Drosophila melanogaster: one gene and its partners. The protein of the gene in region 3 interacts with the protein of the main gene of each other region in a pairwise test. Each region holds a gene or a part of one and is shown on either strand. Other genes may lie near its edges. The genes, in order: Spase25, CG6290 and CG42495.

Region 1 (3,756 bases), on a different chromosome or scaffold from region 3:
AGAAAAGCAGATGATTATGAAAAAGAAAATGGCCCAGAAGATGTCAGAAATTGAGGCTTTGGAAAGACATAAGAAATATGTAGAAATTAAAGAGAAGATGGTAATGGGAAATGGGAAAAGGAACCGTAGTGCCCCATACAGATATCTGAAAAAATAAAAAGATGATGATGACAAAGGAAGCCGGAGCGCCGCAGGAAGAAGGTCAAAAACACTCGGATTTCTGGGTACACTTGGATTGGGACATCTCCACATTGTGAATAAATATAATAACAAATAGAATAATCTTTTAAAAACACATGAGTTAGTCGTACATATAGACTTTACATTACGTACATTACTCTCTTGTAGCCAAAATCTTTAGTATGTCACAAATATGAGCTTTTGGAATATAAAAACATTGATATATATATATAAACGTTTTGACATCGACAACTCCCAATTTTGATGTTTAACTTCTGGGAAGGCAGCCAGGTTAAATATGGAATTAATATCAATGGCCTTATCAGCGCAATATGGGTTTCCCCATCGCCGCCAGTTCCAGTTTGGGCACCCTCTCCTCTTCCTCTGCCGCCACCGGAATCCCCGCCCTCTTAACTTTTAGATTTTTGCAGCTGAACCCATGAAATTATAATAAAATAGTCCACAAATCATTGGTTAAGTTTCTATCAGATTCAGACAATTTATGTTAAGCTGTAAATCAAAGAATTCATTTTATATTATAGTTTTTCCGCTTATTACAAAAGACAAACAGTCGGCTTACCACAAAAGTGTACAATTTAATGAGACAAAAGTGGGGAATTTGGTTTAATTAGAAGAAAGGCTGCTAGCGTTCTTCTTGTCGGCAGCTAAGGCGTTGAACAGACGGTTGACCTCGTTGGCCACCAGGTTGTCCAGGACGATGCCATTCTGATCGATGAAGGCGGCGCACGACTTGTTGCTGCTCTGCTCGCGCCGCTTGCCATTTTTCGTGTCGCGAACACTGAGGGTCAGCAGGTACTTGTCGTCGTACTTGCGCATATCGGAGCTGGCCTCCCACAGGCGCTCCCGCTCCTTGTCCTTCTGCAGGGCCACCGCAAAGGTGCCCTTCTCGCGGAAACTGGAGTGCAGGGTCAGAATGCCGAGGAGTGCAAAGTAGGCCAAAACACTGAAGAGGAGCACTGGACGGGATTCCGGGAAGGGGTGGGTGAAGTCCCAAGCATGGGCCATTATAGCCACGGAAACGGCGAGGGCGCAGAGGGCCAAACGGGTGTTGACCAGGCCGAATTGCTCCTTCAGCTGGGGACGATCGCCAAGGAGGCAGGTTTTCACTGCATCATCGAGGGCGTGCTTCACTGCGGATCCATCCCACTTGTTGACCTTCACCAGCTGGCAGGGCACATGAAACAGGATGGAGTTAGTTTATGCACATATTCACTTAGTTTACATTTACATTCTACAATGACGTGGAACACATCTTAATGGACCAAATGCCAAGCCGGCAACCGGTTTACTCACCTCCTCGCCTTGCTGTGACTTTTCATCCTTCTTGCCCATCTTCTATCTGCTCTCTATTGTGTTTTGATGCCCTTGATTTCCAAGAGAAGTTTGCGAAATGCTCAGAAAAACTCTTTTTTCTTTTTTCAGGAGTTTTCTTCGTTTTTGTGTGACAACGCGACAACAAAATTGTCAATCGTTATCGCTGCCAATCGATAACGGACTAGTTGACCGTGCTGCCAGATAGGGGAAGCTTAAAATACTGAAATACTAGAAACTGCAAGAATTGAAATTTCCCGCGTAATTCAAATAATTTTGAGCATAAAGCATTTAATCAAGTGACTAAAAGTTACTATATATAAATAAATAAAAAATGGCTCGGCCCAAGTTTTACACAAATCGAAGCTGAGTTTATCAAAAAAAAAGTGTGTGTTTTACAAAAAGTGTCTATAAATACGGAGTACGGAATCAATTTACATGGACTTCATTTGCGCCATCAGGTCTTCCAGACTGGTTTCGTCCGCGGTAGCTGCAGATACAGTTTCCTCTGACGTTTCGCTGGACTTCTCAGGAGCCTCGTAGGCGAGCCTCAGCCCTTCACCCATCACTGGGGTTTCGGCGGGCGTTGTATTACTTTCTGGCGCATCCTCGGCGACCAGTTCGATGCCCCATTCGTTGGTGGCATGCAGCGGCTCTTCGCTGACTGCCTTCTCTTCGATCAGCACAGGTTTGGGCCTGGCTTGGAACTCTTTTTGCCGAACTAAACAGTTTCTGTCATCGCACTGCGGATTCGGTTTGAGCGTCATCTTGGGAAAGAAGTCGCTAAGGGCATTGTAGCCCAGATAGTCAGAGACCTCGCCGAAATTCAGCAGATACTTTAATGCGTTCTGGACAAGGAAGCCAGCCGTAATGCCCATAGTTGTGGGCAATGAAGCGGCGCACACGCCCTCTCTCTTCAGCGTCTTCTCGTCGATGTTCTCGGCCACCACCAAGGGTGGTGCACAAGCGAAACAGGCGGTATCGCCAGGACGGATAAACTGAATGTGCCCCGAGACGGCATTTTCCGAAACTCCCGACTCAAACCAGTTGAGATTGCGTTCATTGCACGCTGCATTGATTGCCATTCGTGCCTCAAAATTGTCCACACAGCTGAGCACCAGATCCACCGGCTGGCCAGCTATCCGTCCGCCCTGCGATATTGTGTCCAGGAAGCGATCAAAGTTCTCCACCGTTGTAATATTGTAGTTGTGCGTCTCAATCTCCACGTCCGGATTGATAAAGCTCAGGGTAGCGGCGGCGGCCGCAACTTTGGAGAGGCCCGCCTGATCGGGCGTAAAGAACAGTCTGTTCATGTTGGCCAGCTCCACTTTGTCGTAGTCGAAGAGTATCAGTTTGCCAATGCCGCAGCTGCAGGAAATCAATTGATTAATACATAGCCTTTAATTAAAGACAACATATTTGGAGTGCTAGCTGTGGTGCACAATGACTGTTGCCCTTCTCTTCTTGTTGTGCACGCACCGTGTAAGCATGTCGGCGGTGACGCTTCCCACGCCGCCCACGCCCACAATGGCCACCGCCTTGTAGCGAATGCGCTCGTAGTCCTTGACGATGTTCATCCGCTGCAGGGCCATCAGGCGGCTGTACGGATTGGAGTCCACCACCTCGGCGGACATGCGATCGATGCGATCGCGTGCCAGGCGGCTGTTGCTAGCGACGCCGCCACTGGATTTCGGCTCCGTCTCCAGCTCCGTCTTCAGATCGGCGATGATCGCCTGCAGTTCGTCGATGGCGTGCGACATTCTGGCTTTGGGGTGGCTCCAGTTTCTGGCTCGTGTGTTTGGCTATGGACGCCAGCAATTGTTAATTGTTAACTTTCGCTTTTAAGCTGGTTGTCGCCGTGTCACTTTTGACCAGTGCTGCCAGATGGCCAAATTAGTTTGGTACTTGCGTTAGATGGGATGGGGCAACGCTGCATGTTAGTGATGGCCGAGGGTCGATAGTTATATACCAAAAATATACCAATTTACATTGCCAGCTGGTACAGTGTTGGTTAATGCTACGAATGGCGCGCATATTTGAATTTTAAGACGCATAAAATAGAAGACGAGTAATAACAGCAACCAAATGGCTGTCAACTCCATTTGCTGTATGAAAACATTTAAATTTCCCACTAAAATCCATTTGTATAATTACACAAAAGATTTATTGTCAAAATCATTACACACAAATAGGTATTATAATTATTAAATAACCAAAAAAAAAAAAGAGGAGTAGAACAATTAA
Region 2 (3,400 bases), on a different chromosome or scaffold from region 3:
GGCTCGTTTCCGTATCTCCCATCTGGACAGCCTTCAGTAGTCGAGTTGCTGTGGTGACCCCAATGGCCTTCTCCTCGGACCACTTTCGATCGGATTGCTCAGAAATGACAGTTCGCTTTTTGCTTTATTGCCTCTGCCTGAGGAATCTTTATCGATTGGGGGTGACTCTTCGGCGGTGACCTTTTTAAAGAGCAACAAATAAGGTTGAGTTCTTAAAGGTATGCCACTTTAAAATGGTAACCGGATTCCAAGTTTTGGGTCACCTTGGTGATATGTTTAGTTGAGCTCACAAGCATTTGTAGTTTAAAGACGGAGTACACGTTTTTTTTGACTCTAATGCCGTTTGGGGTCACCTTTTACCAAAGGTGATTGGCCTTAATTGGCTACTACATTGATAATATGATGGGGTCTTAAAATGGATGTAATCTATAGTACATATTTGAATGAAGACGTAATCGTAATGTTTTTGGCCAACCCAGAAAACATGCCGCTCAACACAGTTTCCGGTTTTCAGTTGATTTTATTGCACTTATAAACAAACAAAAAAAATACACTCGATGGTGGTCGTCAGGGAGCTCGGTGATTCTACGCCGTGGAGTTGGCCGTTTCGGTGATCTTCTGGCGCACCTGCTGCACCACATCCGCTACGTTGTTCACAAACGAAAGCCACATGGCCTTGATTCTGGTGCCCAGGCCCAAGGGATCCGCTCCGTCCATATTCTGTGTCACTTCCATGCCCTTCTCCTCCTGCCGTCGTCGTCGCACCAACTTCTTGTTCTTTTTGCCAGTGGTCTTGGGACTCACTCGGGATCGGGAGGCATTGTTGGCGGCCCGCTTTTGAGCTCGTCTCCGTCTGGCCTCCACGTCATCGTCGGCGGACGCCGCTGTGGTGGCGGCAGCGCTCATTTTCCAGAAGCAAGGAGCGCGTTTGAGGCGATGCAGGCTCCGCCGCCTTCGCTTCCGACGACGATCCTCCTCGGATGAATCGGTGGCAATGGGACGTATGGCATCTCCATAGCCAACGGCCGTTTTCGAGTGCACGGACATCAGGGGATTGTCAATGTCGACGTCGCGGGAGATGGCGGCGCCACTCTGAACTGCCTCCGCTATATTTCCGGCCAGAGACATGGCGCCCATGCCCAGCGACTCTAGCGGATTCTGTGGACCTGGCCTGGCCGCAATCATGGCCAGACCCGCGACAACCAGGAGAAGTGCCAGCTGATGGCGATTCATCGTTTCTAACTGTAAGGTTGCGGCATTGCATCCGCGCTTTTTAAGCCATCGAATCGCGTGATTCCCTTCGATACATATCGATTTGAATCCACACCATGGCACCGATGGCTAGTAGAGATCACAGTAGGCTTTCGGATTGGCCCGACGACAGCTGTCAGGTGTCACCGGACTGGTTGAGCTATCCAGTCAGTATCACTTGCTCGCTCAGTCGGTTCAGATCGGTTCGTTTTACAATTTTTCCCGCTACAGACTTCGTAAACAAATTGTATCAAAATCTGAATTTGAAAATCAATTTTTGGCTATCCACACTCGAGCTACACAACCTCTCGTCAAAACTTTTAAGTTTACATCGCGACAAACGGAACAACAGGGAATCATGAGATCCAGCAAAGTTCGTGGGGGCAACGCCAGTCGATTGGCTGACGCGGAGGGACAGTGGGGAAAGGGATGCCTGGGTTCCCAGCACTCAATTATCAAGAATCACGGGCGTGGCCTTTCATCCGTGAGTAAAGGAAAGCGTGTTATAAGCTCAATTGTATGAATATTTTACAAAACGAAATCAAAAGTTACACATCGAAAACGGCCTACTACTTGCGCACATTAGACACTCATCTAAATATCATTTAAGCCAGTTCAGAATAAGGATAAAATTGTCCTGGTTTAGCTTCCATTCTCATCCGTTTATTCCTCTAACCTATGCAGCAAACTCCCACGCAATTTGGTGGATTCTCGCCGTCGGGACAGCAGTATCCTGCCGTGTACTCGCAGCCAGGATTCCGGGCCGATGGTAAGCTGAAGGTCACGCCCAACTCGCTGCTCCAGCAGCAGCAACAGCAGCAACAGCAGCAACAGCAGCAACAGCAGCAACAGCAGCAACAGCAGCAACAGCAGCTCCTGGCGCAGCAGCAGCAGCAACTCCTGGCCGCCACATCGCCGCAGGTAGCAGCTGCATCCGGACCAGGAGTGGGCGTTAGCGGTGGCGTGGTCAACATGCCCAGCTATGCGGACCAGATGCACGCCGCCTTCCTCGATTATCAGCGCCAACGAGCCGAGTTCGAGCAGCAGCAGCAGCACCTGCTGCAGAAGCTCTACCACTACTATCCCGATGTATCCGGCGGCCTAACATCACCGGCTCATCAGATTCAACCCCAAACCCCCCAGATAGCTGCTCCCGCCGATGTGGGAGGCGCTCCGGCGGGCGTGGCAGCACAGAACGCAGCTGGCCGCTTCGCCTACCGTCGGCCGCAGTTCAGCAACAATGGCCTGCAGCCCGAGCGCCTTGCATCCGGATCCATTGTGCCCGGAGGTCCAGTAAGAGGAGGTCCAGTTGGAGTCATCCCGGGAGGAGTGATCGGATCAGCGCCTTTGCGCTCCAACAGTCTGGGAGGGGGAGCAAGTGGAGACTTCTACTCCACGCAACAGCACATGGGCTTCATGCAGCAGCAGCAGCAGGACGTGCTCCGTGACCAGCAGCAGTCGGTGGCCCATCAGTTCGCCACCAGCCAGTTGGCGCCCACCACCCGCCAGAGCTATGGGATGGCCGTTCCCATGTCCTCCGTGCTGGGATCCCCCACCTACCAGCAATCGCCGGACGTCTCTCATGTGAGCTTCTCAAGCGGCAATCTCAACTACAGCTTCTAATGATGATGAGCTGTTATTCCAAGGACTTCCAAAACTAGTATTTTCATTTTTTTTTCACACACCTTTTTTTTTGCGTAAATTTTCGTGGTATTTGATAAGAGGAATTGTTTAGGGCAAGCAAGAATAAATTTTGTAAGTGATGATAATTGTTGGTTTTTAGAGGGGTGGATGCATTTCAGGCTTATCAAATGGTGATTATGGCTTACGAAGTTACGAGGGTTAGATTTGCCTGAAGAAGAGTTTGAATGTGCACTTCTGGCCTCGAGTTATGTACTCTAGTTAGTTGCTTAATTAGCCCAAATCCATCCTATATGACCCAACAGCATTTCATTACTAATAAACCATCGGCACGTGCTCCGTGGAATCTAGCTGGTCAGTTAACTGGCCCCACTTACCAGATTCATCATGGCTAATGATGGGTCATTCCTAATCGGCAACGCTCATCTTTAACACGCCGCCGAGCTCACGTGCAATAAATGCATTAATATTGCTTTGAACGGACCGCCTTCGCATTGGCACACAATTG
Region 3 (3,426 bases):
GGTTTCTAAAACTCCCAGACAGGATAGGACAGGACACAACACTACTTCGTCCAAGGAAAACAAACGACAGATGGGCAAAACTTGTATGTAACTTGGATCTGCCATTTCTTGCTTGATTTTACTTTTTGTCTGTTTGGCTGCGTTGAAGCTGATTGATGATTACAGATGTCGAGAGAAAGAATATAAAAAGTATTTATACGTCTTAGCAATTAAATAACGATTCTGAATTATAAAAATTAATTACTATTACCTATATATATAAACGAAGGGATAAATATATTTATAGTTTGTGCTCTTACTGTCATGCTCTATCCCATTTCAACACCTTTTTTTGTTCTGCCAAACTTTTACACACAAACGATGAAAACAAAAATACAAAACCACGTAAAACATAATAGTTGTAATTATTGCCGCGTGAATGAAGAAGCGTGCACACTAACAGTGCATTATAAATGAAATGAAAACTATGTATTTGCAAAACAGTACATACATTAAACAAAAGTATATAAACCATTCGTTTTTTTGGACTAATTGGGGTTCCCAACATTTTTATATTTTAAAGTTACAAATGGAAAATTAAGTTTCTTTAACTATTTTTATCCCTGCTTCAGAAAGTTATATGGCAAATGAAAAATGTGTATAAAAGAAGCTAATCTTAAGCAAATCCCATTCCTACTATTCCATTTTGTCCTGCTTTTCGGACTCGACTGTTCCTCCGTCGCAAAGAAACCAAAGACCAGCCAGAATGAGAGTTATTCCGATGCCAGATAGTACTGTCAGTGGCTCCCGATAAACAAGCGCACCTAGGACAAACTATATAACGAACAGTAATCATAATTGAACAAATAGATCGGTGGATCACCTACCGATAAGACATAATTCGAAGCGGCAGTTAAAACGACGCACGTTAAAGTTTGTTCAGTCATTTGCAGGGCCTTCAAAAAGAAACGCAAGTTGCAAACGTTGCATGTTACCATTAACACTAGTGGCAGCAGCTGAAGTAATGCTATTTCTAATAAATAAAATAAAATTTTATAAATTTATAAACATTTTGCTTGTTTGAAGAAATCACAATCTTGCCTAAATAAGAAAAGTCTTCATTTATTTGCGAAGTATTCAGTAGTTTTTGGGCGCTCAGGTGGCTGGGAAGTTTTCCGAAAAAGCTTCCTGCAGCTGCGAAGGAGCCAGCCACCAAACTGTATCGATATTTTGCGAGTGATTCCATTAGGTTAGATCTTTAAACTTATAAGTTTAAACCAATAAAAATGTAAACAAAAGTCGAACGAGGCAACAGCTGATGCGCAAAGCTGCCAACTTACTTCCATATGACAAGCTTGCGGTTCATTAAAATCCCGCCAGGTGGAGCACCTTGGCGCGAGATTTAAAAGAGTAGATATTTACTTCAACTTCATTCTTCATAAGAAATATAAGCACAGGAATATAAAAAACTAACTGGCGCAAAATCAAATCAAATTTGTGTGTAATTTTTTCGTATTTCATTTGTTTATTTTACAAAACGTTCAGCTAATGCCTTGACATTCATCGAAAAAGTCTCATTTGCTAATTGCGCGTTGTTTTTGCATCTTTTGGAATTGTGTAGGTTTATATACAAAGACCGCTGCTACATAAATAATACATATATTCTTGTACCTCTCAACAAAACTCAACTTACATAACGCAGAGCAAAGTAGTTGCATTAAAAAATAAATCTCTATGCCGCCTGGCATTATTAACATTCCTTCAATTCAAACATTTAGACACTTATATGTGGAAATTGCTTGAGTGCTATGCATTTCGTCTCATTGCTTTGCTTTACTTTGCTGTCACGGTTTAACTACAATTTTGCTATCGTACTATATATTTAGTTAAATATTTACTTGTTGCATAATACTTCGCCTGTTTCGGTTGTAACACTCACACACGGAAACACAGATATTCCTAATGCACTCCAAGCAAATCTATTAAGTTAGGTTCTTACTTAGCATTGCTATATAAATATTTTTTGATGTTTTTTCATTTTGATTTAGTTAGTTGTTATATATCGCCTAAGGTAAACTGCTCACAATTATTTTATACGTAATTCTTTTAATATTCTTTAAAATGTATACATATGGTTGTATATTTGTATAAATTTGTTTCGTATAATTGGTTGTGTGTGTCTTTAGTGTGTTGTTGTGTCTGCTAGGAAAATGCAACGACTTTCAGCCGTTATCTAGGAGCTCACAGAATCGAACCCCGTTCTCAAAACCAACATGCATTTGTGTAATCAACATTCAACAATTCACTCACTGAATACGGCTAATCTAATAAAAAGACACTTTTTTCTTGCCATTTAACAAATGGCCTATCCCTCTGACAATTCTGGCTGCTCTAATACCCTGTGACTCTAGTAGTTCGCTAAGTTTCTACATCAGGACGCAACACCTGCGACTGGAACTGGTGCTATCGGTGACCACGTCGCCAGTGATGCCGCTGAACTTGTTCAGCGAACTGCCCGCCGGCGAGGAGCCCTCGAAGTCGGATAGCACGCTTCCCGCGCCCATGTGACCCAATGTTGGCTGCGTCGAGATCGGTGCGGATCCGTTGTTGTTGTTGTTGCTGGTGCTCAGGTTGTTGTTGTTGTTGCTGCTGCTGCCGCCGGCTCCTAAAACAGAACCATTAGTTGTTGTGGCATTAGCTGCTGCAATTGGATGGGCATTGCTAGCTGTTTGGGATGACAATTCGAAAGTATTGAGGACATTGGCGGTGCGTGAAAGCGAGCGTTGCTTCTTCAAATTGGCCAATGTGGCGCTGTAGCCATCCAAGGCAACATGCTGCTGCTGCTGCTGCTGTTGCTGTTGCTGCTGATGTTGCTGAAGCTGCTGGTGTTGCTGCAACAGCAGTACGTGTTGCTGGTGGTGGTGTTGCTGCTGCTGCTGCTGCTGCTGTTGATGTTGCTGATGGTGGTGCGTGCTATTGGTGTCTGGATGTTGGAAGTTTTTGGCAAGGCGTTGGGTGTGTTTGGTGTTTAGTGGTGCGGTGGTTGTTGTTTTTATTGTTGATGATGATGCGGGCAGGCAGACGACACAGAACGGGCGAAACGAGGCACAACAACGACAACAAAAAAGAATGAAACGGAAACAAGCAAATGTTATTTTACTTTTCTTCTCTTCTTTTCCCGAGAACTAAGTTAGCAGATACCCATTGACCAATTGGGAGTGATCGGGTAGATGGGATGGAGGTTACATGCGAGTCAAATGCTAATGCTTATTGCAGCCATGCTCCCCTGTTTTCTAAGTACGATTTCTAGTATCAGAAAACCCATTTAGTGTAGTAAGCTATTAAAATGGCAATAATTTACATAAATAGTAATATATGCTTACGCTATTCCACTTTAGGCATTTAAATAAAGAAGTCATTTACAAAGCATATTTACAACATAATGAA

The links.
Region 1: the proteins of CG42495 (region 3) and Spase25 interact in a two-hybrid assay, tested with the Drosophila melanogaster proteins (one large-scale study listed by BioGRID).
Region 2: the proteins of CG42495 (region 3) and CG6290 interact in a two-hybrid assay, tested with the Drosophila melanogaster proteins (one large-scale study listed by BioGRID).

The regions. Positions count from the first base shown.
Region 1 is NC_004354.4:11,483,170-11,486,925, reverse strand, and holds Spase25 (spase 25-subunit), read right to left. Parts: upstream 1,677-3,756; 5' UTR 1,534-1,676; coding exon 1,495-1,533; intron 1,366-1,494; coding exon 805-1,365; 3' UTR 360-804; downstream 1-359. Other genes in the region: CG33235 (uncharacterized protein), read left to right, coding at 1-157; Uba5 (Ubiquitin-like activating enzyme 5), read right to left, coding at 1,947-2,880, 2,992-3,272. UniProt on the Drosophila melanogaster protein: Component of the signal peptidase complex (SPC) which catalyzes the cleavage of N-terminal signal sequences from nascent proteins as they are translocated into the lumen of the endoplasmic reticulum.
Region 2 is NC_004354.4:18,435,337-18,438,736, reverse strand, and holds CG6290 (uncharacterized protein), read right to left. Parts: upstream 1,248-3,400; 5' UTR 1,234-1,247; coding exon 586-1,233; 3' UTR 504-585; downstream 1-503. Other genes in the region: CG32548 (uncharacterized protein), read left to right, coding at 1,936-2,874.
Region 3 is NT_037436.4:18,665,234-18,668,659, reverse strand, and holds CG42495 (uncharacterized protein), read right to left. Parts: upstream 1,300-3,426; 5' UTR 1,226-1,299; coding exon 1,081-1,225; intron 1,013-1,080; coding exon 867-1,012; intron 814-866; coding exon 676-813; 3' UTR 525-675; downstream 1-524. Other genes in the region: MYPT-75D (myosin phosphatase targeting subunit 75D), read right to left, coding at 2,406-2,962.